Callithrix jacchus: one gene and its partners. The protein of the gene in region 2 binds, or shares a complex with, the protein of the main gene of each other region. Links are inferred from orthologs where the notes say so. Each region holds a gene or a part of one and is shown on either strand. Other genes may lie near its edges.

Region 1 (3,500 bases), on a different chromosome or scaffold from region 2:
ATCTTTCTATCATAACAGATAATCTTCCTGTTAATGTCCTGCTTTGGAAGACGCAATCTGTTTAGTTACTTTTCTGTAGGTAATTAACCAAACATGAAAAATGCCTTCAGGTGACATGAACATTTATTTACAAAGTTAACCTTATTCAGCATTTTATTTAATTGCAGTATGTATACTTATTTTTAGATTTGGCAGACTTAAATGTCAACTCTTGAGAATGATGTTTTATATGTATATTCCTGTCTGTACTTTATAAATACATTATTTATATCGTATCTTATCGGGTTTTATCGATTATATGTCTGCCTTATGTTTGTTTTGCAGATGGATTTTGGTATTTGGAAAGGGCATTTAGACGCCCTAACTGCTGATGTGAAGGAGAAAATGTATAACGTCTTGTTGTTTGTTGATGGAGGGTGGCTGGTGGATGTTAGAGAGGTAAGCTGTGTGCGTTGTTTATAGCCAGAAACCAAAACACTCACCATGTCTTTCTCTTTTTTAAATGCTCTGTCTCTAAATAGGAGCATCTACAGATTTTATGTAATTGTAGATATAGCTAAATCCCATATTTTAAGCTAAGCCGAAAATACTAGCTAGGGAATGGGAATATTTGATTCTTGGATAAACTATTAGTTCACATTTACTATGTTTACACAGGATACAAAAATCTAATTTAAAAAAATCTGGACCTAAATATTTATTATACATGTATGTGACTCAATTTACAGATATGAAGATAACTTGAATAGTATCAGTAAGGGATAGCTAAGGTAGTGGCTCTCACCTCTGGGCTGTCCATTTTAATGACCTGGCAAACTTTTTAAAAACACTGCAGGGTTCCACTCCCAGAGATTCTGGTGTAAATGGTCTGAGGTAGGGCTGGGGTTTGTTTGTTTGTTTTTTTAATCACCTGGAGTGTTTTAATATGATATACAGCCTGTGTTGAAAACCAGTTACAGAAGTATTAAGTGCCATAAGAAAAGCACAGGGTTTTTTTGTTTTTTTTTTTTTGAGACAGAGTTTCGCTCTTGTTACCCAGGCTGGAGTGCAATGGCGCGATCTCGGCTCACCGCAACCTCCGCCTCCTGGGTTCAGGCAATTCTCCTGCCTCAGCCTCCTAAGTAGCTGGAATTACAGGCACGCGCCACCACGCCCAGCTAATTTTTTGTGTTTTTAGTAGAGACGAGGTTTCACCATTTTGACCAGGATGGTCTCAATCTGTTGTTGACTTCGTGATCCACCCGCCTCAGCCTCCCAAAGTGCTGGGATTACAGGCTTGAACCACCATGCCTGGCCTCAAGCACAGGTTTTTATGCTGATTCTCTTGAAGATAGAATTTTAATGTTGCAAAATGTTAATTAAGTGATACTTTAACTTTGAAAAGACTTCAGTGCTTCATTTGTACATAAATCTTTGCTATTCTAATTATTATTTAATCTAAGTAGATTAGGTAGTGAAAGACACAAAATAGTCTGAGGTCTCATAAAAATGGAGCCAAGTGTGGTGGCTCACGCCTGTACTCCTAGCACTTTGGGAGGCTGAGGTAGATGGATCACCTGAGGTCAGAAGCTTGAGACCAGCCTGGACAACAGGGCAAAACTCCGTTGCTACTAAAAATACAGAAAAATTAGCCAGGTGTGGTGGCGCATGCCTGTAGTCCCAGCTACTACGGAGGCTGAGGCCAGAGAATGGCTTGAACCTCCCAGGAGGCAGAGGTTGTAATGAGCCGAGATTGTGCCACTGCACTTCAGCCAAGGTGACAGGTCAAGACCTTGCCTCAAAAATAAATAAATAAAGTTTAGGTGGAAGGCAGTGAATGATACCATTTAATTTCATCAAGGGTTTTAAAAATCAATATTTGATCTCAATTATTTCTTTAAAACTAATCTAGAAAAGAGATTTTTTTGAACAATTAAATAATTAATAATGATATTTTAATCACCCTTGTTGAGTCAAGCCTAATACTCTTATATATTCGATGACGTAGGGCACTATTCAAGGCTCCTGCTAACACATGTCACTTGTATGTGAATTAGAAAATTGTAATTTTGTCTGGCTGCAGTGGCTCACACCTGTAATCCCAGCAGTTTGGGAGGCCAAGGCAGGTGGATCATACAAGGCCGGGAATTAGAGACAGCCTGGCCAATATGGTGAAACCCCATCTCTACTGATAATATTAAAAAACTAGCCAGGTGTGGTGGCTCGTGCCTATAGTCCCAGCTAATAGGGAGGCTGAGGCAGGAGAATCCACTGAACCCAGAGGCAGAGGTTTCATTGAGCTGAGATTGTGCCACTGCACTCTAGCCTGGGTGAGAGGGAGACTCCGTCTCAAAAAAAAAAAAAAATATTGTAATTCTCTTCCCTCACACAGATAGGTTCCATGGCCAGTCCACACGAAATGTAGAACAGAGCACAGGCTACATTTCAGCCCCACTAACTTGCTTAGCCAGCCACCCTTGTACAAGGCATGGCTGTATGCAATAGCCCTAGCATTATGCAGTGTTTTCATATAGCTATGCCTCTAGTTTTTAAATAACTGTAGAATAGTCCCCTTAGTGTTAGGGCTGGTGGCACAGAGGGATGTCAGTGAGAATGGAGCAGGCAGCTCATTACCTACATTTCACCACCTCCATTACCTCTACCTCTAGCACAAGCCTCTGCTGTCTTCCCTGGCTTCTCACTGTTCTTTATACAGTCCATTCCTTATACAGATGTACTAGTGAACCTTTTAGAATGAAATATATGCGACCATCCTACCCAGAACTTTCTGATGCCTTCTTATTACACTTGGAATAAAATCCATCTTTCTTTTCCTGATGTGCAAGACTATACATAGTTTTCTTTTTAAACTAACCCCCTAATCTTGTGTCCTGTTCTCCCCTCACTATATTCTAGCCTTTTGGACCTCTTCACTGGTTCCCCTCTGCCTAGAATGCTCCTTAGCCAAGATATCTGCATGGATGACTTTGTACTTTTAGCAGTCTGCTCAAATGCCATCTCCCTTAAGAACCTCTCCCCAACCCAACCACCCTATTTTAAATAGCATGTATGCATGTGTATATATATATATATATATATATACACGCACACACACTCGTGTCCTTTTTAATCTCCATAGCCTAAATTAGTTTTTTTTCATAGCACTTAGCACAATCTTATATAATACATATTAGTTTATTTGGTTTTCGTATGTCTACCCTCATTAGAATATAACCTTAATGAAGAGAGTAACCTTGTTTTCTTTATTTCTTTGACTCTGGCACTTAAACGTAATGCCAAGCACATGGGAGGCTTTCAATGATATTTGGTAAATGAATGATATTGCATTACTGAGGTGAATGTACTGTCTTCAGATTAGGAATAGCTATAGTATCGGCCGGGCGCAGTGGCTCTCGCCTGTAATCCTAACACTTTGGGAGGCCAAGGTGGGTGGATCACCTGAGGTCAGGAATTCAAGACCAGCCTGGCCATCATGGTGAAACCCCATCTTTAAAAATAAA
Region 2 (3,500 bases):
ACAGGCGGTAGACTCCTGGCCAAGAGGGGGCATCCAGAGACTTCCGAGAGGCACTAGGTATCTAAGACACAAACAGCAGACAAACTGAGGAACCCTGCTGACAGGCAGGGCCTTCCTGCAGTACAGCAGCTAAGGCAGCCCAGCTGCTGGGAGGAAAAGACCTCTCAGAATAGACACAGCCACTGCCTGGTGACCAGGGGGCCAAGGCCAGCAGATGCAAGGAAGAGCACCAGGCCGACACAAGATCCAAGGTTCCAGGCTCAAACCTGCCACTCACTAGCCATGTGAACCCAGACATGTCACTACCCTGCTCTGGCCCCCACATGCTTCCTCTAAGGGGTAGCTGGGCTAGATGACCAAATACTTAATGACTCTTACGAGAGGTTCAGAAGACTACTCTTTTGGAATTAGGAGGTATATGTTAAACTAGAAATAACCAAGGGACACAGAGGGCAGGGTGCTGAGGCCCCATCAAGCCCCCACACCACCCGCTTCCCTTCTCCCAGTCCTAGTCTGGTGGGGCAGGGGTGAAGTCACAATGACACACTGTCTTTAGGAGTGACAGGAGATGACAGCTGCCTTGGCTAGAGGCCTGGTCCCAGGGATGTGTTCTCAATCTGGTTTAGTCCTCCTCACTCCTGCAACAGGAAGAATCCATCCCATCTCCCAGAGGTAGTGCACAAAGGCCAGGTGGTGCCTTTTTAGTGGTGAGTTTCTCTTGCTAGAGATCCGCCTGGGGGCAGGGAAGATTCCTCACCATCAGTGTATTAGGCCACAAAGAGGAGTGCAACTTCCAGGGAAAGGCAGGGGGGGACACTTTTCTACTGGAACTGTAGGCTGGCCAGGCCAGGCCTCCTGGCAAGCTCCTGACACTCACCTGTGCTGTGCCATTGGTGCTCAGCTGGTACACACTCAGAAGGGGCAAACAAATGCTCTGGGTGATGCCAGCTCCAGCCACTGCTGTGGCTCCCTGTGAGAAGGGAAAGACAGGGAATGAGATGGAGCCTGCCCCTGCCCTACCCAGGGCAGGTAGAGCTCTCAGGCTAGACCGTAGCTTCAGGGATTGTCAGTACCACCGACCCCCGCCAGCACAAGCAAGGACGCTCCCTCCTGCCTTTGGGCTGGCCTCCTACCTGCTGAGTGCGAGCCAGGGTGAGGAGCAGGTGCAATGCGGCCTCAGTGAAATGCAGGTTCTGCTTCATGCGAAGGCTCACCTCTAGGGTGGTAAGGAGGGTGGGCAGGATGGGGAGCCTGCGGGTCACCTGCAGCCAGGAGTCACCATCCTCATCTACCTCACACAGCTCCTTGGCCAGGTGCAGGCCCAGGACACACACCTGCTGGGGCCCAGGGGCAAAGATGAGTAAAAGGCAGAAGAAGAAGAGGACAACGACAAGCAGCTGTGGGCCTGGTTGCCCAAGACCTTCTTGGATATACACAATGCCAAGTGAGCTTCAGTGACAGAGAATGCACACTCTCTCCCACCCTGCCCCTCTCCTGTGTCTAGCTCTCATTGAACAGCAACAACTCCAGCCACCCTAATGACCAACCCCTAAATTGGCTCTTCCTTTCCACACTGCCACCACCCTTGTCAGTACCACCTCTTGTCTCACGTTGGACACTCTAACCAACTCTGCCAATGGAGTCTGAGGGACCTCTCTGGCTCTGCTTGACACCACCTCTTGCTTTGCTGCTGTAACCACCTCCTAAATGGTCCTTCTCCATCCTCTCTAATCTACCTTCCTATCAGTGGCCTTTCAGACTTCTTTCTGGCCATGAACCACAGTACTAAAGACTTTTGAGACTATACCCTCAGGTACATGTTTACAGGTTTTCACTAATAATACCTACCCAACATCACACAAGGCACAGTGATATTTTCTTAAATATTTTATTCTACTCATTTTAAACAATGCTGGCTGTTACAAAATGTGCTAATTTTAAGGCTCCCTAATAGGTCATTACCCCACAGTTTGCAAAATACTATTTGATACCGCATCCTGAGTGATCTTTCTTGGGCAGGCCTGTAATCCCAACACTTTGGAAGGCTGAACTGGGAGGATGGCTTGAGGCCTGGAGTTTAAGTTCAGAATGATTTTTCTAGAGTAAAAATCAGATCAGTTTTCTCCCCTGCTTAAAAGCCTGACCTCGCTTCCTTTTTCACTTTGGATCCAAATCAAGGACCCTGATGAAGCTGCCATCATCCAGCCCCAGCTCCTCAGTCCTCACCTTCCTATGCTCACGCTAGCTTTTCTTCAGGTTACTGGACAATTCTAAGCACAGCTGGCCAGGGGCTCTTCTCACTGCCCAAATCTTCCCTGCACCTTCATTTGCCACAGCTACTATCCCCAAGTCATTGCTGAAAAGGCACCTAAGTCCCAGATCAGGTTAGAGACAAGACTGTAAGTCTGCCCTGCACTTCTCTCCTGCAGTGCTGGTCACAAGAGGCTTCCCCTGCTTTTATGCCGTGTCTGATCTATTAACGTTTCCCACCAGGCTGTGAACTCCAGAAGTGCAGCCACTCTCTGTCTTGCTCACTAGTTACCTCCAGTCAGGCAGAGAGCTGCTGGGCAGTGGAAAGGACAGATGGCCTTCTAGGGCACTCTCTCACCCCATCACGCTGGTCCTTGTGCCGGGGCCGAGAGCAGTCGTCTGTCTCCATGCTGTCCTTGTCCTCTGCAGCACTGCCTGATGCCAGGCTGTGGCGGGTCTGGTCAAAGAGTGCAATCACTTCCTCTTGGAGGGTCTCACAGACATTCAGCACCAGCTGGGAGTACTGGGGGATGTCATTTACTGCAGAGTAGACAGGGAGGGACGCTGTCATGCTTACCAGGCCAACTCTCACTGTCCACCAAAGTTTCCTTCCTAGGCAGGGGGCTAGGAATGTAGTAGGGTGCTACAAGGGAGAGCCTCTGTCCAGTAGGAGAGGGACGAGAGACAGGTGGGGGAAAAAATAGCTTTCCTGAGGTAGAATTCCAAGATTAGAAACTCAAGAGTCCCAAGAGAAACGTGTGATTCTAAGCTGGTGGAAGCCCTGCCCGGCTGTCAGCAGCTGCTGCTCCCCCTGCCTCTGCCCCTCACCTCTCATCTCCTTCATCTGCAGCACTGTGATGAATGCTGAGAACACCTTGGCCTTGGTCTTCTCCATGAGTTGCTGGTCGGCCTGCAGCACTCCCTCCAGGATCTCCGTCAAGGGTCCAAGGATTTCATCCACAGAACCTAACTCTCTAAAAAGAATACAGGGTGGGCTGGGCATGGTGGCTCATGCCTGTAATCCCAGCTCTTTGGGAGGCCAAGGTGGGCAGATCACCTGACATCAGGAGTTTGAGACCAGCCTGGCCAATATGGTGAAACCCCATCTCTACTAAAAATACAAAAATTAGCCAGGCGTGGTGCAACATGCTTGTAATCCCAGTTACTAGGGAGCTGAGGCTCAAGAATCACTTGAACTTGGGAGGCGGAGGTTGTAGTGAGCTGAGATTGTGCCAACTGCACTCTAGCCT
Region 3 (4,072 bases), on a different chromosome or scaffold from region 2:
TCTGTCCCTCAATGGTATGGTATTAGGAGGTGAGGACTTTGGTAGGTGATTGGGTCATGAGAGTGAAGCCCTCAATTAGGGCACTTATACAAGAAATATTGGAGAGCTCCCTCATCCTTCTTCTGTGTGTGGTTACAGAGAGAAGAGTACTTTATTAGTGTGTTCTCACGCTGCTATGAAGAAATACCTGAGACCGAGTAATTTATAAAGAAATGAAGTTTAATTGACTCATAGTTCTGCATGGCTGGGAGGCTTCAGGAAACTTACAATCATGGTGGAAGGCACCTGCTCACTGGGCGGCAGGAGAGAGAATGAGTGTAAGCAGGAGAAATGCCAGATGCTTATAAAACCATCAGATCTTGTGAGACTATCACGAGAACAGCATGGTGGAGACTGCCCCCATGATCCAATTACCTCCACCTGGTCTCACCCTTGACATGTAGGGATTATTGGGACTATAATTTGAGGTGAGATTTGGATGGGGACACAGAGCCAAACCGTATCAAGTGTTATCTATGAATTAGGAGGCAGGCCCTCAGCAGACACTGAATCTGCTGGTGCTTTAATCTAAGGCTTCCCAGCTTCTAGAACGGTGAGAAATAAATTTCTGTTGTGTATAAGCCATTCAGTCTATGGATGTCTGACCCCACTTGCCCCCGCTCACCATCTTCCAGCCACACACCCCTTCTTTCTAGTCTCCAAACACTAATCTGGCTTCTCCTGGAGACTTCACTCTTGTTCCCTCTGCTTGGAATTCTTTGAAGCCAGAACGTTGCAAGCTCCATTCTTTCTCATCCTTCTTTAGTCAGCTCAAGACGCCACCACCACAGAAAAGTCTCCTTTGACCATCCAAGCATTCTCTCTCCCATCACCCTGTTTTTTCTTCATAGCTCTTCTTGCAAACTGCAGTTACTTATTTATTATATTTTGTTTCCTCTGCCAGCCTGGGAACTCCATGAGGGCAGCGATCTTGTCTGTCGTGGTCGCCACTGTGTTCCCAGCTCGTAGACTACGGCCCAGCCCTTGGCGCTCAAGGATTAAGAAATTGCTTTAGCTTAAGGAATTCTAGAATCACTTTCTCCTGACAGAGCCGACTCTAATCAAGTGAGAAAGGTGAAGGCTGTGGCTGCCTGTGCCCAAGGCGTGACGGTTCGGCCCAAGGCCCAGCCTCCTCCCCGCCCCTGTTCTTGTCCTCCCCCGACGGGTCTCGATAAAGTTCGTTTGATGGCGCGCCGCGCGGGGGCTTCTGGGAACGGCCAGCGTTGGCCAATCAGGAAGCGGGGGAGAGCGGCGCGAGAAGCGGCGGCCGCGTACTTCAGCCGGCACCCAAGCGGCGGAGACAGCTGTTGTACAAGGTAAGGGTGTCTCTGGTCGCGTCCTTCCGACCCTGGGCTTGTCCTTGAACCCAGGACCCCGTGACTGGGTGGAGCGCCGTCCTCACACTCGCAGCCCCGCCGCTTACACTTCCCGTTCTCCTCAGGGCAGCCAGGCACGCCTAACGCCGGCGACACAACGCCTTGTCTAGCCGCCCCCGAGGCTTAGAGTCGGGCTGCTGCCCTGGGGGTGCCTTTCATCCGCCCGCTTTCTGTATGCAGAACCTAGGCCTGTCACTCCCCCTTCTCCACTGTGACGCCCTCGCTCCACGCCCCTGCTCTCACATCCACCTCATGCCCCGCGAGCCCGCCCTGCCTGCTCGTCTGCACGTCATGGACACACTCTCTAGGGAGACGTTGCCCTGCGAGGGAAGGGATATTTGGGGCAAGTGGAACTTTTCCCAACCATTGGCTTGTCTTTTGTACATCCAGGAGGATGCTAGTGATTGGAACCCAGGAGTGGCCCACCCTTCTCTGTGCCTGCTCCATCCCGTTCTCTGCAAAGGCGATGCCCAAGTTCACTGGGTTTCTTTTGAAAAAATTATGGGGCCGGGCCCATGAGTCTTTGCTGAAAGCGAGAAAGACCCGTTGACAGAACCTGTGGTCTGGGTTTGCCCTTCTGTTAAGTGTGGGAAGGAGGTTTTATTTATTTATTTTTTGCTTTGACTGAGTTGTCTTTGAGCAAAAGCGAGGGTCTTTTTGTATTCTTTCTGGGAGATGTGGGAGGATATCCTTGGTCATCCTAGCTTCTCTTCTTTTTTTCTTTCAGTTCTCCTCCTTTGTGCATTGGTGTTTGCAATATTTTTATTTTCATTCATGGTGATCTCATCCAGGTTCATAGCACTAAATACCTACATATCAGAGGCTAACAGATTCCATATTTATGTCTCCATTGTAGGCCTCACCCCGACCTTTATCCAGCCACCCACTTAGTATCGGATGATAGGCAACTCAGACATGTCAAGAGAAGGCTAGCAAGCTCCCCTTTATTACCCTCCCCAAACTGATCCTGTTGCCTTTTTTTTTTTCATCTCAATAATAGGAAAGACGCTGGCTAATAACCTTTGAGACGTCATTGACTGCTCTCTTTCTTTTTCCTTTTCTTTTTTTTTATTTTTTTTTTTATTTGAGACAGTCTCCCTCTGTCACTCAGGCTGGAATGTAGTAGTGCTGTCTCAGCTCACTGTAACCTCTGCCTCCCAGGCTCAAGCGATTTTTCTGTTTCGGCCTCCAGAGTAGCTGGACTACAGGCGTGTGCCACCTTGCCTGGCTAATTTTTTTTTTTTTTTTTTTTGAGACGGAGTTTTGCTCTTGTTACCCAGGCTGGAATGCAATGGCGCTATCTCGGCTCACTGCAACCTCCGCCTCCTGGGTTCAGGCAATTCTGCCTCAGCCTCCTGAGTACCTGGGATTAACAGGCCTATGCTACCATGCCCACCTAATTTTTTGTATTTTTAGTAGAGACGGGGTTTCACCATGTTGGCCAGGGTGGTCTCGAACTCCTGGCCTCAAGTCATCTGCCCATTTCAGCCTCCCACAAAAGTGTTGGAATTACAGGTGTGGGCCACTACACCCAGCCCTCTCTTTTTCGCACTGCAAATAATACTTGCCGTCCTGGGCTAAGTCACCACCTGTCTTTTGGATTATTGAAATAGTTTGCCACTTGGTCTCCCTGCTTCTGTCCTGGCTCCTATTTTCAGCATACCAGCTAGAGGGATCTTCTTAAAACACAGGCTGTCAGACTGTACCATTCCTTTATTAAAAAAAAAGAAAAAATCCCTCCAGTGAGTCCCCATCTTATTAATGATAGACAAACCCCTTACAGTGAGCTATAAGGCTTTACATAATCTGACCCACTGTTACTTTCCCAGTCTCATTTGCTCTCTCCCCTTGTGCTTGCAATTTAATATCCATGTAGTTTGCACTCACTTCTTCAGGTCTTTACTAGGGGTCACCTAGTGAGGCTTTCCTCACTTCCCGCCTCCCTTCGTCTCTTCAGTTGTTCTTAGCACTTACATTTTACGTATTTTTCTTGCATATTGTTGTCTTCTCCCTGTAGAATATGAGTGAGGGGATTTTTATCTGTTTTGTTCCCTCATGTATTCCTAGCACCTAGGTCTGGCACACAGTAGGTGCTCAAAAAAATATGAACTAGATGAATGTTACTGGCACTGTTGTGGGCATGGAGATACAGTGGTGAATGAGACAGGCCTGCCTTCATTTAACTGATGTGCATATGGAGGGCACCACTAGCAATAAAAGCACAGATTAAAAAAATGTGATGTCAGGACTGTTTCCTAAGGGAGGACAGGTATATTTGAATAATGGGACTATCTGAGAATATTGCAGGTAGGGGGTAAGCAAGTCATGGGACTATCTGAGAGTATTGCAAGTAGGGGGTAGAGCAGGTTCGAAGACCCTGAGGTGTGAGCATTTGGAGATGTGGTGAGCCTGAGGGTCTTAACCTGCTTCCTGATGAACTGAAGTAGAAAATAAAGTTGACGGAAAGATGGATGTACCAAGGAGAGGGACAGGTCAGAGCAAAGATCCGAAGGTAAGAGGGCCCACTCCTCATGAAAAAGTTTATTTAAATAATGTGGAGTTAGAGGGAAGATCTTTTACAAGGTGTGTTCAGGGAACAGGCAGTTTTAATTCAACAGGCATGTATCTGGTACCTATTATCTGCCAGACCTAATGCT
Region 4 (3,500 bases), on a different chromosome or scaffold from region 2:
GAACGACTGATTTAGGGGTCTTTCTTACTTTAATGCTTTAGGTCATATATCAGTTATGTGCATGCTCTGATACGTCTGGCCCTACTATGAGGTACTTGAGAACCAGCCAGGATTTCTTATTTTCCCAGTTGAAGTATCTACCGTTTTCTAACAAAGGTAGGATATTATTTTCCCTTATTATAAGAACAAATTTATAATTCCATGTTAAGTGATTTTATTTATGCAGCATGTGGGGGGAATTCTGTTCTCATTCTAATATTTTGGCTTCTTTGTTATTTCGGGTTCCTTTTGTAATTTCTGCTTCAAAAAACCTGATATTTTATCTGCTAGCAAAAACTTATTTAAATATAGCCTGTCAGAGATAGAATTTGATTCTTTTGCAACAAATGAAATTTAAAGATTGTGTTGAAGGGATACGAAAATTAATGGGAATTTTAAAGTTTTGAATGAAAATTGTTTTACAAAGATTTCTTATTTTCTCTTTCCAGGCTGTTTATAAGGAAAAAAAATCGCGATTTACTTTTGTTTCTTGTGTATATATTGAAACTTATTCAGGTCTTGAAATGAAAACTTGAAAACTAATATGATAGAAAACAGCTTTAACTTAGTTTATTGATATGACACAATTATTCCAGGCTAATGAAGTTTTATTGGGATTTTACTTTATTTTCTTTTGGATCAACTTTTAATAGTTTTCTGAATTCAGATTGTATTCAGACAGTCTTGGTCTATTGAGTTTTTTTTTTTTTTTTTTTTTTTTTTTAATTTTTTATTGGATTATAGGTTTTGGGGTACATGAGCAGAGCATGCAAGACAGTTGCGTAGGTACACACATGGCAGTGTGCTTTGCTTTTCTTCTCCCCTTCACCCACATTTGGCATTTCTCCCCAGGCTATCCCTCCCCACCTCCCCCTCCCACTGGCCCTCCCCTTTTCCCCCCAATAGACCCCAGTGTTTAGTACTCCCCTTTCTGTGTCCATGTGTTCTCATTTTTCATCACCCACCTATGAGTGAGAATATGCGGTGTTTCATTTTCTGTTCTTGTGTCAGTTTGCTGAGGATGATGTTTTCCAGATTCATCCATGTCCCTACAAACGACACGAACTCATCATTTCTGATTGCTGCATAATATTCCATGGTGTATATGTGCCACATTTTTCCAATCCAGTCTATTATCAATGGGCATTTGGGTTGATTCCAGGTCTTTGCTATTGTAAACAGTGCTGCAATGAACATTCGTGTACATGTGTCCTTATAGTAGAACGATTTATAGTCTTTTGGATATATACCCAGTAATGGGATTGCTGGGTCAAATGGAATTTCTATTTCTAAGGCCTTGAGGAATCGCCACACTGTCTTCCACAATGGTTGAACTAATTTACACTCCCACCAACAGTGTAAAGGTGTTCCTTTTTCTCCACATCCTCTCCAGCATCTGTTGTCTCCAGATTTTTTAATGATCGCCATTCTAACTGGCGTGAGATGGTATCTCAATGTGGTTTTGATTTGCATCTCTCTGATGACCAGTGACGATGAGCATTTTTTCATATGATTGTTGGCCTCATATATGTCTTCTTTCGTAAAGTGAGTTTTTTTAAAGTTTAGTTTGTATCATCTTTGTGTTTTAGGAAATTGAGGCTCACACATTTCATAAACAAATTTCTGTTACTAGTAATTGCCAGCATCTCATTTACCTTTTAGAGTAAATGGTGTTAAACCTCTGAGAATTATCTAATGGCATAAGAATTTTCACTTTATTTTCATTAGTGTCTTATTTTTAGTTCTGTGATTTTCTTTATGTAAGAAGCTTTTAGTAACCCTCTTTTTATACCTAATTAAAAAGAAAATTTAACATTTTACTTATTATGGTACATGTTTTATAAAACTTCATTTAGCTTTTCCTGAAATTATTATTAGTATTATTGTTATTTGGTTAATTTTATGTTTATACTGTCACAGTATAGGGTTCAATGTCAAGCATGTTAAAATAGTATTGAATTTAAAAACTGTTATTGTAGGACTAGGCACAGTGGCGCACACCTATAATCCTAGTGCTTAGGTAGGCTGAGACAGGAGGATCACCAAGGCCAGGAGTTCAAGAACAGCCTGGGCAGTAGAGCGAGACCCTGTCTCTACAATAAAAAAATAAATAAAAATGAAAACTATTGTGTAAGTGATTCCTAGCCTTAATTAAATGTTAAACCACATCCTTGAGATATTATAAAATCAAGTAATTTAAGTTTGATTTTTCTTAAGTATTTATTTTGTGAAATCAAAACCAAACTGTGATAGTTTTTGAGTTATGTATTTGAAAATTACTTTGAGAGGGAGCACCCCTCCACTCCATTTGCTCGCAGTATCCTAAAATCTGTGCTCTCGCTGCAGTTCCCTTTGGGTTCCATGTTTTTCTTGTTCCCTTCCATGCCTAGCTGGATTGCAGAGTTGAGTTAAGTTTATGATTATGAAATAAAGACTAAATAACAATAAAAAAATTACTTTGAAATATTGTTTTATATATTAATGTCAAAATATGATAGACTCAGAATCTTGGTGAAATTAAAATTAGTAATGAAAACTAGATTCCCTTTTACTCTTCATTTACCTTAGCTCATCTTTCATAGATTTATACTAGCTTATTTTTTCTTCCTTGGTATCTTTTTTTTTTCTAGTAATTCTACAGAATGAGAAATTATTGCGTTGCTGAGTTTCATAAATTACTGACTTCGTTACATGGGAAAATACCTGTTGAGTTATGGAATTTAAGTCTGTTTTGATACTATGCTATTATTCTAGGAAACAAAATTTACTTTTTAAATTCTAGAATATGAAATTTCTATGCTGAACCAGATGTCATGGCTTATGAAAACTGCCTCAATAGAACTAAGGGTAACCTCTCTGAATCGTCAGCGGTCACATACCCAGAGGCTCCTACACCTCTTATTGGATGACATGCCAGTGAAACCATACTCAGGTGAGTATTAGTATTTGTTTTATTGTGCTGGTGACTAGTTATTCTGAAGACAAAGCACAGATCTGAAGCTTGTGCTTAGTATGTGATTATAGACCAAAATCAACTTCTCACTTTTAGAATGTTTTTTTTTTTAAAACACAAAAATATTAACTCATCTTTTGATTGTCATTTATTATTATTTTAAGCATCCACATTACACTGTAGTCATACCGGTATTATACTCAAAATTGTCAGTGGAGTTTGTCATGCTGACCCAGCATGACCTAAGCTATTTCAATGTGTATTATTCATGCAAATTAAGCATAAACTTTAAAATCATCTCATTGGTATGATTGGATCTTGCCATTTTTGAGAATCTGATTATTCTCTTTATAATTGTGAGATGGATTCCATATGGATGGAAAGAATTAGATGAATGTTGGTAGTAAGTCCTCATCTTTCTTCGCATTCTAATTATGAATTTGCACAGGGCTCTTTGACGTAGAAACAATGATCTAGAAATAAAATACTTTATGTTTGTTATTTCCAA
Region 5 (3,959 bases), on a different chromosome or scaffold from region 2:
TAAATCATATTACAAAAAAACTGGCTAATTTTTTCAAAGCTGTAAATTTGGTTCCCTAAAAATTCTACTTGCTCTTATTTATCTAAGATGTAGCAGACATAAAGTCAGGTACTGGCTGATCACAGTGGCTCCTGCCTGTAATCCCAACACTTTGGGAGGCTGAGGTGGGTGGATGGCTTGAGCCCAGGAGTTCAAGACTAGCCTGGGCAACATAGCAAAACCCCGTCTCTACCCCCCAAAAAATAAAAAATAAAAAATAAAAAAATTAGCTGTGTATGGCAGTGCACACCTGTGGTCCCAGCTACTTTGGAGGCTGAGGTGGGAGGACTGCTTGAGCCCAGGAGGTCAAGGCTGCTGTGAACCGAAAGACTGTACCACTGCACTCCAGCCTGGGTGACAGAGTGAGACCCTATCTCATTAAATAAAGTCAGGTACCAAAGTATCACATAACCTAGAAACAGCAGACTAACACATAACATATAAACAGATTTCTTTATTGACTACTGTTAGGTATAACTCCTCCATATTTGTCTATTCATTCAATAAGTCTAAACACACTTATTGAGGGCCTACTATGTGGCAGGCAATTGGACTACAAAGACAAAAATATTTTACCAGACTAATAAAAACACAGCTAAAATAGAAATGATAGGTGCTATAAATAGAAGTATCAAATAGGTGTTATGGAAGCTTGCAGAGGAGAGAATGCCAAGAAAAGCTTCCCAGAAGACGCTTGAACTGAGAAAATGTCACAGAAAACATACCCTGTTCATGCTTTACTGTTCTCCCTGCACTACTGGTTTTGAGTTTATGCTTTGTCATCTAAATAAGAGCAAAGTGACAACCTTACTGATGTGAACAGACCAAAGTGTCAACTAATTCAATTTCATCAAATCTGAGAAGTCAAAACCAGTAATTTTACCCAAGTATTTCCCAGTACCTTTTTTGTTTTCTTTTTTGAGACGGAGTCTGGTCTGTCGCCCGGGCTGGAGTGCAGTGGCATGATCTTGGGTCCCTGCAACCTCCACCTCCTAGGTTCAAGTGATTCTCCTGCCTCAGCCTCCCGAGTAGCTAGGATTACAGGCATGCGCCACCACACTGGGCTAATTTTTGTATTTTTAGTAGAGATGGGGTTTCACCATGTTAGTCAGGCAGGTCTGGAACTCCTGGCCTCGTGATCAGACCACCTCAGCCACCCAACGTGCTGGGTTTACAGGCATGAGCCACTGCACCCAGCCTTCCCAGTACCTTTATCCTGTTCAATCTCTAGTTTTGGTTTTTAAATACTCTAACTTCCTCCACCAGGTAAACATTCTGTAACCCAGTTAACTAACTAGAGCTTCTTCCTGAATTTATAAGACTGTCACAGGGAATAATCACTGCTCTTTCCCTTTCTCCCTTCCTCCCTCCCTCCCTCCCTCCCTTCCTCTCTCTTTCTGATAGCTTCTTCCTCCAAAATGGAGTTTTGTTTTCTCACCTCATTCTACTATAATACTCCACTATGAATTCTGTACCTGAATGGAGCCATGAGGTACTATAAACGGACTCCTGCTTAGCTTTCTAAGTCCTGTCAGTATTTTCTGCTTTCTATTCCAGTACTGTTAAAAATCACTGACTGCGAGTCCTCAGCAGCTGGCACAAATCAAAAAATTCACATTTAGAAAGGCCAACAATGGCTTGTAGTTTTATCGATTTGTTTCCAATAAATAACATCACTGACATTCTTTAACCATCTTCTAAGTTTAGTTGTTGAGGTCTAGGTTAACGAAGCTTCCACCTTCCGTAAACAGAGCTGGTAGCAACTAAATGGAAAACGCTATGAAGATTCCATCTACGTCCAGCTACCTAATATGCATCCGCACCGACTTCCTAAAGGTAATTCTTAATAATGGGAGGCTGAAACATCTAAGTAAAAAAATTTTTAGACTGTCAGAGATCTGGCATTGGCTAATCCTGCCTGTTACTACGGACCTCAGTTTCCCCATCGACAGAAATGCGATGTAAGGTAGGAAGATTGACTTAAACAATTTCTAAGTTCTTTATGGCTGCAGTAATCCAGAAACTCCATTTTTCTCCTCATCTGGCTTTACACGGAACACGTGGAAAAACAGAAAACCTTTTGCTCCACCGAACCGACTTCCATTCTCAGATATTAGTTTAAAAATCTAACAAACTTCAGACTCACCCTAATCCTCGAGGTGCCCATTTCCCTTAAGGAGAAGCCAAAGCAAATAAAGCCCATCCCCACATGACGGTCAAGGAAGTGCGGGGCAGCCCATATTCGGAGTCTCAAGGCGTAAAGGACGATTCCGTAAAGTCCAGCCCACCGTGGGGTCCTAACACCGCCGAACGAATGAATGACTACAACCAGACAGACGCCCACTCGCGTGGGCTCAAGTGGAGACCCCCAGGCCTAGATCCCACCGATGTCCATTCCCTCCCAGGGCCTCCAGAACCGGACCACCGAGACTCAGGGTCCTGGGCCCCGCCCCTCTCTCAGGCCTGAAGGTGTGCGCCGCGGCGAGAGACTTCGGCGCTGAGAGGCCCTGGGACGCCCCGCGCGTCCGTCCTCCAGGGAGGAGGAGCCTGCCGCTCTCGGCCGCGGCATCTCCGGCTCCCGACTTACCGCGGTTCTTTAGGAGAGGGGAAATGTCAGGAATCCGGGCCCGGTCCCGTCCGCCACCCGCCGCTAACGGAGCAGCGCGCGGCCCCCACGAAACCGTCACCGTCACCGTCACCGCCGCTACCACCACAGCTACCGACCACCGCTTCGGGCGCAGCGCGCAGAGGGCCCGAGTGCGTCACACGCCGCCCGGCGTCAGGGGCTCGCTGCAGGCGCTCCGCCCTCGCCGTCCACGAATTGGTGAACGTGGCCGCCACTCTGGGTCGGCCCTGTTATTCATTGGGCAACGCGTCTTTTGAAACCGAACATGAGGGCGGTCTTCGGGGTGGAAGGGGCGAGAGGGAAGGGGAGGGACACAAGGAGTTAGGGGCGGTACAGGGGAGGAGCGGTAAGAGGGCCGTGGGGTCCCGCCCCCTCGCCGCTGCGGTTGATGGGAGTGAGTTGTGACGTCACACAGGGCCTCTCTAAGTGGGCTTGTGAATGGCTAGATTGGGAAGCACCGGCGGGATGTGGGGAAGAGTGGTGACGCAAAATAGAGACTCCGCCCCCTGCCTTGGAGCGCTGAGACTCAGGCTGCGGGAGCTCGGGCCAATGAGAGGGACGGCCCCAGAATGGCATGGTAACTATTCGACCCTTTACTTGCCCCGGTCCGCGGGCGCTGCTGGGAAGGCTTTCTCGTCTCTCTGCCCGCACTTCCTGGACAGACCACGTGCGGAGTTTGAGGACCCTTCCGGGAGGTCTGTCTGTCCAAGGAGTTTGCCTGAGGCTGCTTCAGGGGCCTAGATCCTTACCCTATTCTTTTCTGACCTATGCTTGCCCCAGCACATTCTTTCCCTCTCCGAATTTCTAGGACAGACATTAGGAGCAGTAGAGATGCCCTAAGGGAATGGCCCACCAAAGGGCCTAGTACAAATGAGGATTGTTGGAACGTCTTTCCCAGCTGCACGGGAGAACCTCCTACTTCTTTTTTTTTTTTTTTTTTCCTTTCGCGATGAAGTCTCGCTTTGTCTCCCAGGCTGGAGTGCAGTGGTGCCATCTCGGCTCACTGCAACCTGTGTCTCCCAGGTTCCAGCAATTCTCCAGCCTCAGCCTCACGAATAGTTGGGATTACAGGCACCCGCCAGGCCCAGTTAATTTTTGTATTTTTAGTAGAGACTGGATTTCACCATGTTGGTCAGGCTGGTCTCGAAGTCCTGACCTCAAGTGATCCACCTGCCTCGGTCTCCCAATGTGCTGGGATTATAGGCATGAGCCACGTTGTCCGGTGAACTATTCTTTTTTTGAAATGGGACCCAGCTAATTTTTGTATTTTTGGTAGATAGGGGGTTTCACCATA
Region 6 (3,933 bases), on a different chromosome or scaffold from region 2:
GCAGGCACTAAATCTAGTTACATGTGCTTGCAGTAGAAAAGAAGACACTGATCTCAATAAAGGCTGGTCTTTTTCATGATGCGCAGGAACTCTTGCTCACTGACCTCTCCATCTCCATCTCGATCAGCTTCATCAATCATTTCCTATATGACAGTAAATATTCAGGTTAGCTTAATTTATAAACTAATTCAAAAAGGTGATTAAGGAATAGACTTTTTTTACAGTCAGGGTCTCTATGCTGCCCACACTAGTGCCAAATTCCTGGCTTCAAGTGATCCTCCTAACTCAGCCTCCCAAAGTACTGGGATTATAGGCATGAGCCACTGTGCCTGGGAAGCAATAGACTTTAATAAAGCTATGTGAAAAGATCATCGTAGTCCACCCAATGCCAGTATGCTACTCCTGATAATAGCCTGGTTCCTGAATAGTTATTTGAAAACCAAGTCATATTTTGTGAAACATATCACCTGGGAGGGAGCTTGAAGACTGCCTTGACTAGAGGGATTCCTGGAACCCAAAATAGTAAGTAAGATTGTGCACCTGTGCATTTTTCTAGAAGCAGGGCTCATAGGTTTGTCTGACTATTAAAGGGACAAGAGTCCACTGGCTTTCCTTCAAAGAGATGCTCACACGAGGAAAAATGTAACAGAAAAGGCACAGAAGGCTGAAAGGTGGGAATCTGAAGTTCCAGTGTGAGGCATTACAAACCTGCAGCTCCTCATCAGTCAGGTTCTCACCCAACTCCTTGGCCACGCGTTTCAGATTTTTGAACGAAATCTTCCCAGTTTCATCATCATCGAAGAGCTTGAAAGCTTTCAGGATTTCTTCTTTGGTATCTTTCTCAGACTTAACAAGTAGAACATAAAACACATGAGTAGGGAGACACCACGGTTACTTGTGTCCTGTAGCCCTGCCGCTGCCCAGTCACCCTCTCCTTTTTAACAATAACTCGAGTCTAGACTTGCAGCCAGTGTCAGGAAGCCCATTTTGGCCTCAGAGAAACACCAGGCAAGCCAGGCACTCCATCCAAGGTGACATTTGCTCCCTATCCCACATCTGTTTCTTAACTGGTTTGGAATTCTGTGGGATGAGGTATCTGCTTGGAAGTCTTGAGAGAGAAGCACAAGGTAACATGACGGGAGGGCAGGCCTGAACTGCTGTGTGCTCACATGACTGTTTTAACAGGCAGATGCCATGGGCCTCTGCAGATGACTGGGGCTCTGTACCATGCCAATTGTCTTAACTACTTACCATTTTCTGGGTCATCACAGTTAAAAAGTCACCAAAGTTCATTTTTCCTGTCCCTTCCTTATCAATTTCACTTATCATTTTCTTAATTTCTTCTTTCTTGGGTTCAAAGCCCAGGGCCCTCATTGCCACCTACAATGAAAACAGGATTGTCTCAATATACACATCTAAACTATAAGAAGCAAAAATAACAGTGTTGAGAGCATTAAGTCCGTATCTGATGTGATCATGTTAATATGATTCGGGAACACTTTAACACAGATCTAATTGATATCTGCAATCCATCTGATAATACTCAAGGTAAGTAAAGACAGGAAAACAGAGCACAGTACAACCTCCCCTGTTACTTACTGCAGGGAGAAGAGGGCAAAAGGGGTAGAGAGGTGATAAAGAGATGACAAGGAAGAGGGAGAGGAAAGGCAGGGCAAACGGCAGGAATGCATAGAGCTTGCCTTAAGTTCCTTAACATCTATGCTGCCAGTTCCATCTGCATCAAAAAGATCAAACGCTTCCCGGATCTCCTGCTTCTGCTCTTCTGTAAGCTCAGGCTTAGGACTCATTCTTTTTCGCTGGGCACTTGACGCCATGTTTGCCTTCTTAAAGCTGGAGGCCTTTATATGTTATGCAAATACATAAGCACAATAATATATAATACAGTCCATATTTACATAACATAGTTACAGACACCTATATGTATTTTTAAAGTCATTTATAACCAATTCCAAAGCTTTGCTTAACAAGAAATATCACAGGGTTTACTATTGTTTCTAGATGCAGGGAGATCATTTGTTCAGTAAGGATATCTCTTATTGAAAATCATCCCAAAAGAGAGCTAGTCAAGAAACTGACTGTGAACAACTAGAGATAATCAGCTCTTCCCGAATGTGGGGAACCTGGTTCTGGAAACAGCCTTAAAATGCCCACTGCCAGTACTCCGCTTCCTAGTAAGTACTCTGACTTCCCAATTACTTCTAGATTTGCCCAAATATTAGGAAGTTAAGATGTATATCGTGTCAGTATCTAATAATAAAACTCAATCCATCTGGCACCTTCGTGCCTTCTCCAAGAAGCTAAAGCATCCCCTTAATGCCCCTATATTTATATTGTAGAAAACATTTTCAAAGAAAACAATACACCTTCTCCCAGTTCTGTGGGGAAACTTTGGCAGAATGAGGCGGCCAGGAGGCCAAGGTCTGAGAGAGTCAGGGGTCTGTGAGGGATTCGAGTCTTTTTTGCCCAGGGAGGGTCACCGAGGGGACCAGGGAACGCCAGGGGAGCCTGAGGGGCGGGTGTGGGCCTGTCGTGGGTGAAGGGGAGGCAGTAGCGAAGCGCAGGCCCAGTAGGTTGGTTAGCGCCTGTACCCTACCCTTCCGGGAAAGAGCTCAAAGGAAGGACTGTACGCCAAAGCCGAGAAAGGCGCAGGAGAGGCGGCGTGGCACAGCCGGGGCTTGGGAAGGGCTCAACCTCTGGGCGTGGGGCGCGACGGAGCGGCCAGCACTCACCATAGCCAAAGGACTCCGCTGCCGGTTGTTAGGCAACCGCAGTATACACTGACTCGGCCCCGTTCCCACCGCCCCCTGCGCGCAGCCCCGCTCTCCATTGGCCGTCTTCTGGCCCTCGCCGCTCTCCATTGGTTCAGGGCCGAAGTGGGTGGAATTAACCTGGCAAAGCCCTGGACCAGCGCGGGGAGGGGCACGCTGGCGACACAGGCCAGTCATAACTGGGCAAGATCACGCCGCGAGCGCCAATTGGCTTAGCCAACGCTGAGCTGGGCCAATCCTCTTGGTGGAGGAAGCTCGGCTGATTCTCGTCTCACGCGGGAGGGTAGTAAAGGGTGGCGGTCTGAGGCTAGAGTTCGGTGGGTGCAGCCTGCTTGCGAGCTGAGGCCAGCCAGGGGGGCGCCTACAGACGGGTAAGAGTCGTGGTCTTGCCCTTGGAAGTCACCTTGTGTCAGCGACTGGGCAGGGCGGGAGAGTGAAGAGCTGCGGGGCCTCCCGGGTCGGGTGCTTTCTGGGCTGACCTCAGGCTGAGTTAGGGACCGAGTGCATCAGAGCCCCCAGATGCTACTGACCTTGCGTGTTGGAGCAGGGGCTGTACTCACGGGGCAGCTGAGACCCAGAGAGGGGAAGGGGTGTGCTGAGCGTCGTTGCAGAGGTCGGACTGCTGGTACCTAGGAACTGAATCCAGCCGAGGTTCGCTCTTTGAGGGTGGCCCTTCGAGAGCACTCCCAGACTGCCCCAGAAGTATAGGCCCCAGATCAGGTTCCAAGAGGGGATCACTTTAGGTCTCACGTGGCTAAAAGCAGCCCAGGACGGTGAACTGGGGGCTTTGGGAACGGACTTTGAAAGGAGTGAGGGGGATGTGAGCGAGCATGAGGGGCCGGGAGAGGTCATCAAAATATACTCTTTTTGACACCCACTCAAGACAGATAAGGAGGAGCATTCCAGGCCGAGATGCCCTCATAAGCAAAGTCCCAAGAGTTTTGGAAGTTACTGGTATGCTTGGAGAATTCAAAGGGAGCATGTGCAAGGGCTGTGGACTGAGATAGACCTGCAGAAAGGGAGCTGGAGGTCCAATTTGCCCACTTTCGCTATTCCCGTGGCTTTCGGCCTTCACCTGTCTTTCCTCCAGGCATTGGGGCAGTAATCTAGGGAGGCAGAGGGCAGAGAGTAAGTTTCTCAGGCA
Region 7 (3,500 bases), about 2.2 Mb from region 2:
CAAATGTCCCTTCTCTAAATCAAAGGAATTAAGTTACACATTGCCCCTGGCCCCACTTTTATGATTTATTTTAAAAAGTGATGTCCACCAGCTGTGCTAGTCTCTGTTCTAAGATAATGAAAAAAAACAAAATATGAACATTTTAGGAGCCAGGTATGGTGGCTCACACCTGTAATCCTAGCCCTTTGGGAGGCTGAGACAGGAGGATTGCTTGAGCCTAGGAGTTTGAGACCAGCCTCAGCAATATGGCAAGACCTTGTCTCTATAAAAAAATTTAAAAATTAGCCAGCGGTGGTGGTACATGCCTGTAGTCCCAGCTACTCAGGAGGCTGAGGTGGGAGGACTGCTTGAGCCCAGGAGGTAGAGGCTGTGGTGAGTCTGGAGCATTCCACTGCACTACAGCCTGGGTGACAGACAATCTGTCTCAAAACAAAACAAAACAAAAGCCAAAACACTTCCTGCTTATAGTATGACTAACTGAAAATACGAATACAGTTGCTGCAGGCACTCTCTCTTCTGTGAGTCTTTTTTTTTTTGAGATGGAGTCCTGCTCTGTAGCCCACACTGGAATGCAGGGGTGCGATCTTGGCTCACTGGAATCTCCACCTCCTGGGTTCAAGCAATTCTCCTGCCTCAGCCTCCTGAGTAGCTGGGATTACAGGCACCCACCACCACACCTGGCTGATTTTTGTATTTTGAGTAGAGATGGGGTTTCACCATGTTGGCCAGGCTGATCTTGAACTCCAACCTCTGGGAAACCACCCGCCTCAGCCTCCCAAAGTGCTGGGATTACAGGCATGTGCTGTTGTACCTGGCCAAATAATTCTTGTGCCTGTGCTTCTTAAACAACTGTTCTGTAACTGTGCTTCACAAAGTGCAGGCTCCACATGAAGATAAATGCTCAACAGTAAGACATTTTCTTTGAATCATTAAGTACACTTAGCTCCATAAGAAGTGTCAGAGAGAAGTGTGGCAGCATTAAAGCCATAGCAAGTCTCCCAATTCAGAGTACGAAAAGCACAGCACATTTATCACTTATGTAAGATACAGGAAGCAAGAAAAAAAAACCCTGTCCAACTGTTAGTTAGGACTCTTAACACTTAAAACCATTAATCTGAGAAGGCAGGGCTAAGGTCTGAAGTTGTTTGCTTAAAATCAGACCTGATGTTGAAGGCAAGACTGAGGACTTCAATGACACGGAACTGGATGATGCTGAGAGAGGCGTGGGGTGGTTGAGTGGTCCAGAAGCAGTTGGCTTGGAGGCAGAAGAGAATGGCGGCATCGAGGGTGTGCTCTGGGAGCTACTAACAGGAGCAGAGGAAGGTGTGGCAGTAAACCTGAAAAACGGCAGCCAGAAGGCCTCAGAAGAGCTTGCTAGAAGATTCTTCCAAACTAGCATGAGCAATGTCATCAGAAGATAACTTATTTTCTTTTATGTTAACTTACAAAGATTATAAACTTTTGTGCCTTCAGAAAACATAAATGTTTAGCTATTTCTTACAAAAGGTGAAAGCTGCAAGGAAGCATTTATCTTATCGTCTGCTTATTTAGGATGTGTTATTTAGGGGAAATATCAAATACTTAAAGACAAAACTAAGTTTATCACAATATAAAATACCAAGTTTATCAGGATATGAAATATTATTGTGTCCAGCTGAGTTTTAAACAGGAGGTGGGACCCAATTACGCTTAGGGGAGTCAGTACTTTTTCTTTTCTTTCTTTTTTTTTTTTTGAGACGGAGTTTTGCTCTTGTTACCCAGGATGGAGTGCAATGGCGCGATCTCGGCTCACCGCAACCTCGGCCTCCTGGGTTCAGGCAATTCTCCTGCCTCAGCCTCCTGGAGTTAGTACTTTTTCTTACCAAGGAAATTACTAAGAACTCGTTTTGAGAGTGACCACCTTTTCTGGAAGTGAAAAAGGAAGAGAAACGCAAGTCACTGTCTTTGGGATACTCATGGCCTAAAGGGAATGTAAAGCCAGTTCCACCTAAAGAGCAAAAGTCTGTAGACAATCTAAACATCCAGCATTAGATGACTGGTCAGATAAACTGTGGTGCAGCCAACAAAACAGAACACTATGCAACCCTTAGCATGAAGCGGCTGCCTGCCGGATAAATATTAACAGTAGCTGACAGTGGCAGCACCACCACAGCAACAACAGAGAGTACAGGCAAGCAGGGAAAGGCTGGTAGTATCTATAACCAGTGGTTATCTTGGGAGGGGTTACAAAATATAAGGGATTGCTTCCTTTGAAAAGCTTACATTCTAGTGGGGAGAAAAGAACAAGCAGATAAAGAAGTAAATAAATAAGAAATGAGTGAGCTGTAGGACTTAGATCTGGAGGAAATTGGATACCAACCTAATAATTAGCAGTGAGCAGCCATGGGGCTTCACAGGGACTGTCAAGCAGAAGAATCACCTAACAATTTACGATGTCGCAAGATCACTTTGTGGCTATGTAGACATTTGAGAATTAAGGGTGGACACGGGTTGGGGGGGAAGTCTACAAGGGATTAATTTCCTTCTAGGATATATATTCTTGATTGTTTCTTTTTTTAAAATAAGGAATATTTCCTACCTTTGTAATGTAAAAAAAACCACAAATATTTGAATATAAATCCCTAATAGTCAAAAAAACAAAATGCTAGCTAAGAGACCCTTCTGGACTCTATCCACTGATGAAATGCCAGCTTTTTATGTTGGCTGAATTTCTACCACTTGAAAGTATTACTCTGGGTAAAAAATTCTACTCAGTAACTCCTCTCACAGTGACTCTACGTCTAGCAAATAACATGCAATATTTCTACCCATCCCACAGAAGAATCAAACTTTAGAAATGACTTACTTTTCACTAAGGTTGACTTTGACTGCTGAGGGTGAGAAGGAGGGCTTCACTGCTACATTTGGAGCAGACACACTTGGCATTGGTGTGCTTTCCAGGGTAGGCTTAAAACCAGATGATCCAAAGGAGAATGAAGCAGCTGATGGAGCCATGGGAGACGCTGCAGGGGTGAGGGCTAGGGAGGCTTTAGAAGGGGGAACAAAAGAAAAAGTTGATGGGCCAGGGCCCAGGGCTGCTTTAGAGCTGTCTGAGCCACTGGAATATGAAGGGGGCTCCCCAGTGACTGTAGCAGCTGACTTCAAAGATGAAGAACCAAAGGAGAACACAGTGGGAGCCCCACCAGCAGGAAGCAAAGAAAAAGTGGCAAGGGGAGCAGCAGGTGATGATGGTGGCAGAGAGGCAGGGGCTGTAGCTGCAGAAGCATCCAGTTTCTGTGGGGCTTGAGGGGAGGTCGGGGTAGTGGGCGTACTTCCTGCAGTGACAAAAAAAAAAAAAAGGAAAAGGTTAACACTGTAAGAGTGGAGGTTCACATAAGGGAAAGCAAGTGAAAAAGAATGTGTGGTAGAATGAAGCCAGAATGATACTAGTTTAAGAAGCAAAAAGAATAGATGGGAACACAGTTAATATTGAAGTTTTCATGTAGCATGAGATAAATGAA

Evidence for each region.
Region 1: NUP188 (region 2) and NUP107 share a complex: the UniProt entries of both Homo sapiens proteins name them as parts of the nuclear pore complex. The link is inferred for Callithrix jacchus from reciprocal best matches to the Homo sapiens genes NUP188 and NUP107.
Region 3: NUP188 (region 2) and NUP93 share a complex: the UniProt entries of both Homo sapiens proteins name them as parts of the nuclear pore complex. The link is inferred for Callithrix jacchus from reciprocal best matches to the Homo sapiens genes NUP188 and NUP93.
Region 4: NUP188 (region 2) and NUP205 share a complex: the UniProt entries of both Homo sapiens proteins name them as parts of the nuclear pore complex. The link is inferred for Callithrix jacchus from reciprocal best matches to the Homo sapiens genes NUP188 and NUP205.
Region 5: NUP188 (region 2) and NUP98 share a complex: the UniProt entries of both Homo sapiens proteins name them as parts of the nuclear pore complex. The link is inferred for Callithrix jacchus from reciprocal best matches to the Homo sapiens genes NUP188 and NUP98.
Region 6: NUP188 (region 2) and CETN2 share a complex: the UniProt entries of both Homo sapiens proteins name them as parts of the nuclear pore complex. The link is inferred for Callithrix jacchus from reciprocal best matches to the Homo sapiens genes NUP188 and CETN2.
Region 7: NUP188 (region 2) and NUP214 share a complex: the UniProt entries of both Homo sapiens proteins name them as parts of the nuclear pore complex. The link is inferred for Callithrix jacchus from reciprocal best matches to the Homo sapiens genes NUP188 and NUP214.

Annotation. Positions count from the first base shown.
Region 1 is NC_133510.1:50,412,531-50,416,030, reverse strand, and holds part of NUP107 (nuclear pore complex protein Nup107), read left to right. Parts: intron 1-324; coding exon 325-438; intron 439-3,500. UniProt on the Homo sapiens protein: Plays a role in the nuclear pore complex (NPC) assembly and/or maintenance. Required for the assembly of peripheral proteins into the NPC. May anchor NUP62 to the NPC. Involved in nephrogenesis.
Region 2 is NC_133502.1:177,579,338-177,582,837, reverse strand, and holds part of NUP188 (nucleoporin NUP188), read right to left. Parts: intron 3,225-3,500; coding exon 3,079-3,224; intron 2,791-3,078; coding exon 2,609-2,790; intron 1,335-2,608; coding exon 1,134-1,334; intron 971-1,133; coding exon 878-970; intron 62-877; coding exon 1-61. UniProt on the Homo sapiens protein: Component of the nuclear pore complex (NPC), a complex required for the trafficking across the nuclear envelope. Required for proper protein transport into the nucleus.
Region 3 is NC_133521.1:14,609,335-14,613,406, forward strand, and holds the start of NUP93 (nuclear pore complex protein Nup93), read left to right. Parts: upstream 1-1,272; 5' UTR 1,273-1,355; intron 1,356-4,072. UniProt on the Homo sapiens protein: Plays a role in the nuclear pore complex (NPC) assembly and/or maintenance. May anchor nucleoporins, but not NUP153 and TPR, to the NPC. During renal development, regulates podocyte migration and proliferation through SMAD4 signaling.
Region 4 is NC_133512.1:111,670,989-111,674,488, reverse strand, and holds part of NUP205 (nuclear pore complex protein Nup205), read left to right. Parts: intron 1-41; coding exon 42-156; intron 157-662; exon of another isoform or gene 663-1,088; intron 1,089-2,821; coding exon 2,822-2,971; intron 2,972-3,500. UniProt on the Homo sapiens protein: Plays a role in the nuclear pore complex (NPC) assembly and/or maintenance. May anchor NUP62 and other nucleoporins, but not NUP153 and TPR, to the NPC.
Region 5 is NC_133511.1:69,220,630-69,224,588, forward strand, and holds the start of NUP98 (nuclear pore complex protein Nup98-Nup96), read right to left. Parts: upstream 2,801-3,959; 5' UTR 2,627-2,800; intron 2,292-2,626; exon of another isoform or gene 2,186-2,291; intron 1-2,185. Other genes in the region: acyltransferase PGAP2, read left to right, coding at 3,104-3,360. UniProt on the Homo sapiens protein: Plays a role in the nuclear pore complex (NPC) assembly and/or maintenance. NUP98 and NUP96 are involved in the bidirectional transport across the NPC. May anchor NUP153 and TPR to the NPC.
Region 6 is NC_133524.1:148,960,081-148,964,013, forward strand, and holds the start of CETN2 (centrin-2), read right to left. Parts: upstream 2,801-3,933; 5' UTR 2,754-2,800; coding exon 2,751-2,753; exon of another isoform or gene 2,615-2,750; intron 1,860-2,614; coding exon 1,701-1,859; intron 1,381-1,700; coding exon 1,252-1,380; intron 847-1,251; coding exon 709-846; intron 144-708; coding exon 54-143; 3' UTR 1-53. UniProt on the Homo sapiens protein: Plays a fundamental role in microtubule organizing center structure and function. Required for centriole duplication and correct spindle formation. Has a role in regulating cytokinesis and genome stability via cooperation with CALM1 and CCP110.
Region 7 is NC_133502.1:179,798,267-179,801,766, reverse strand, and holds part of NUP214 (nuclear pore complex protein Nup214), read right to left. Parts: intron 3,315-3,500; coding exon 2,846-3,314; intron 1,338-2,845; coding exon 1,162-1,337; intron 1-1,161. UniProt on the Homo sapiens protein: Part of the nuclear pore complex. Has a critical role in nucleocytoplasmic transport.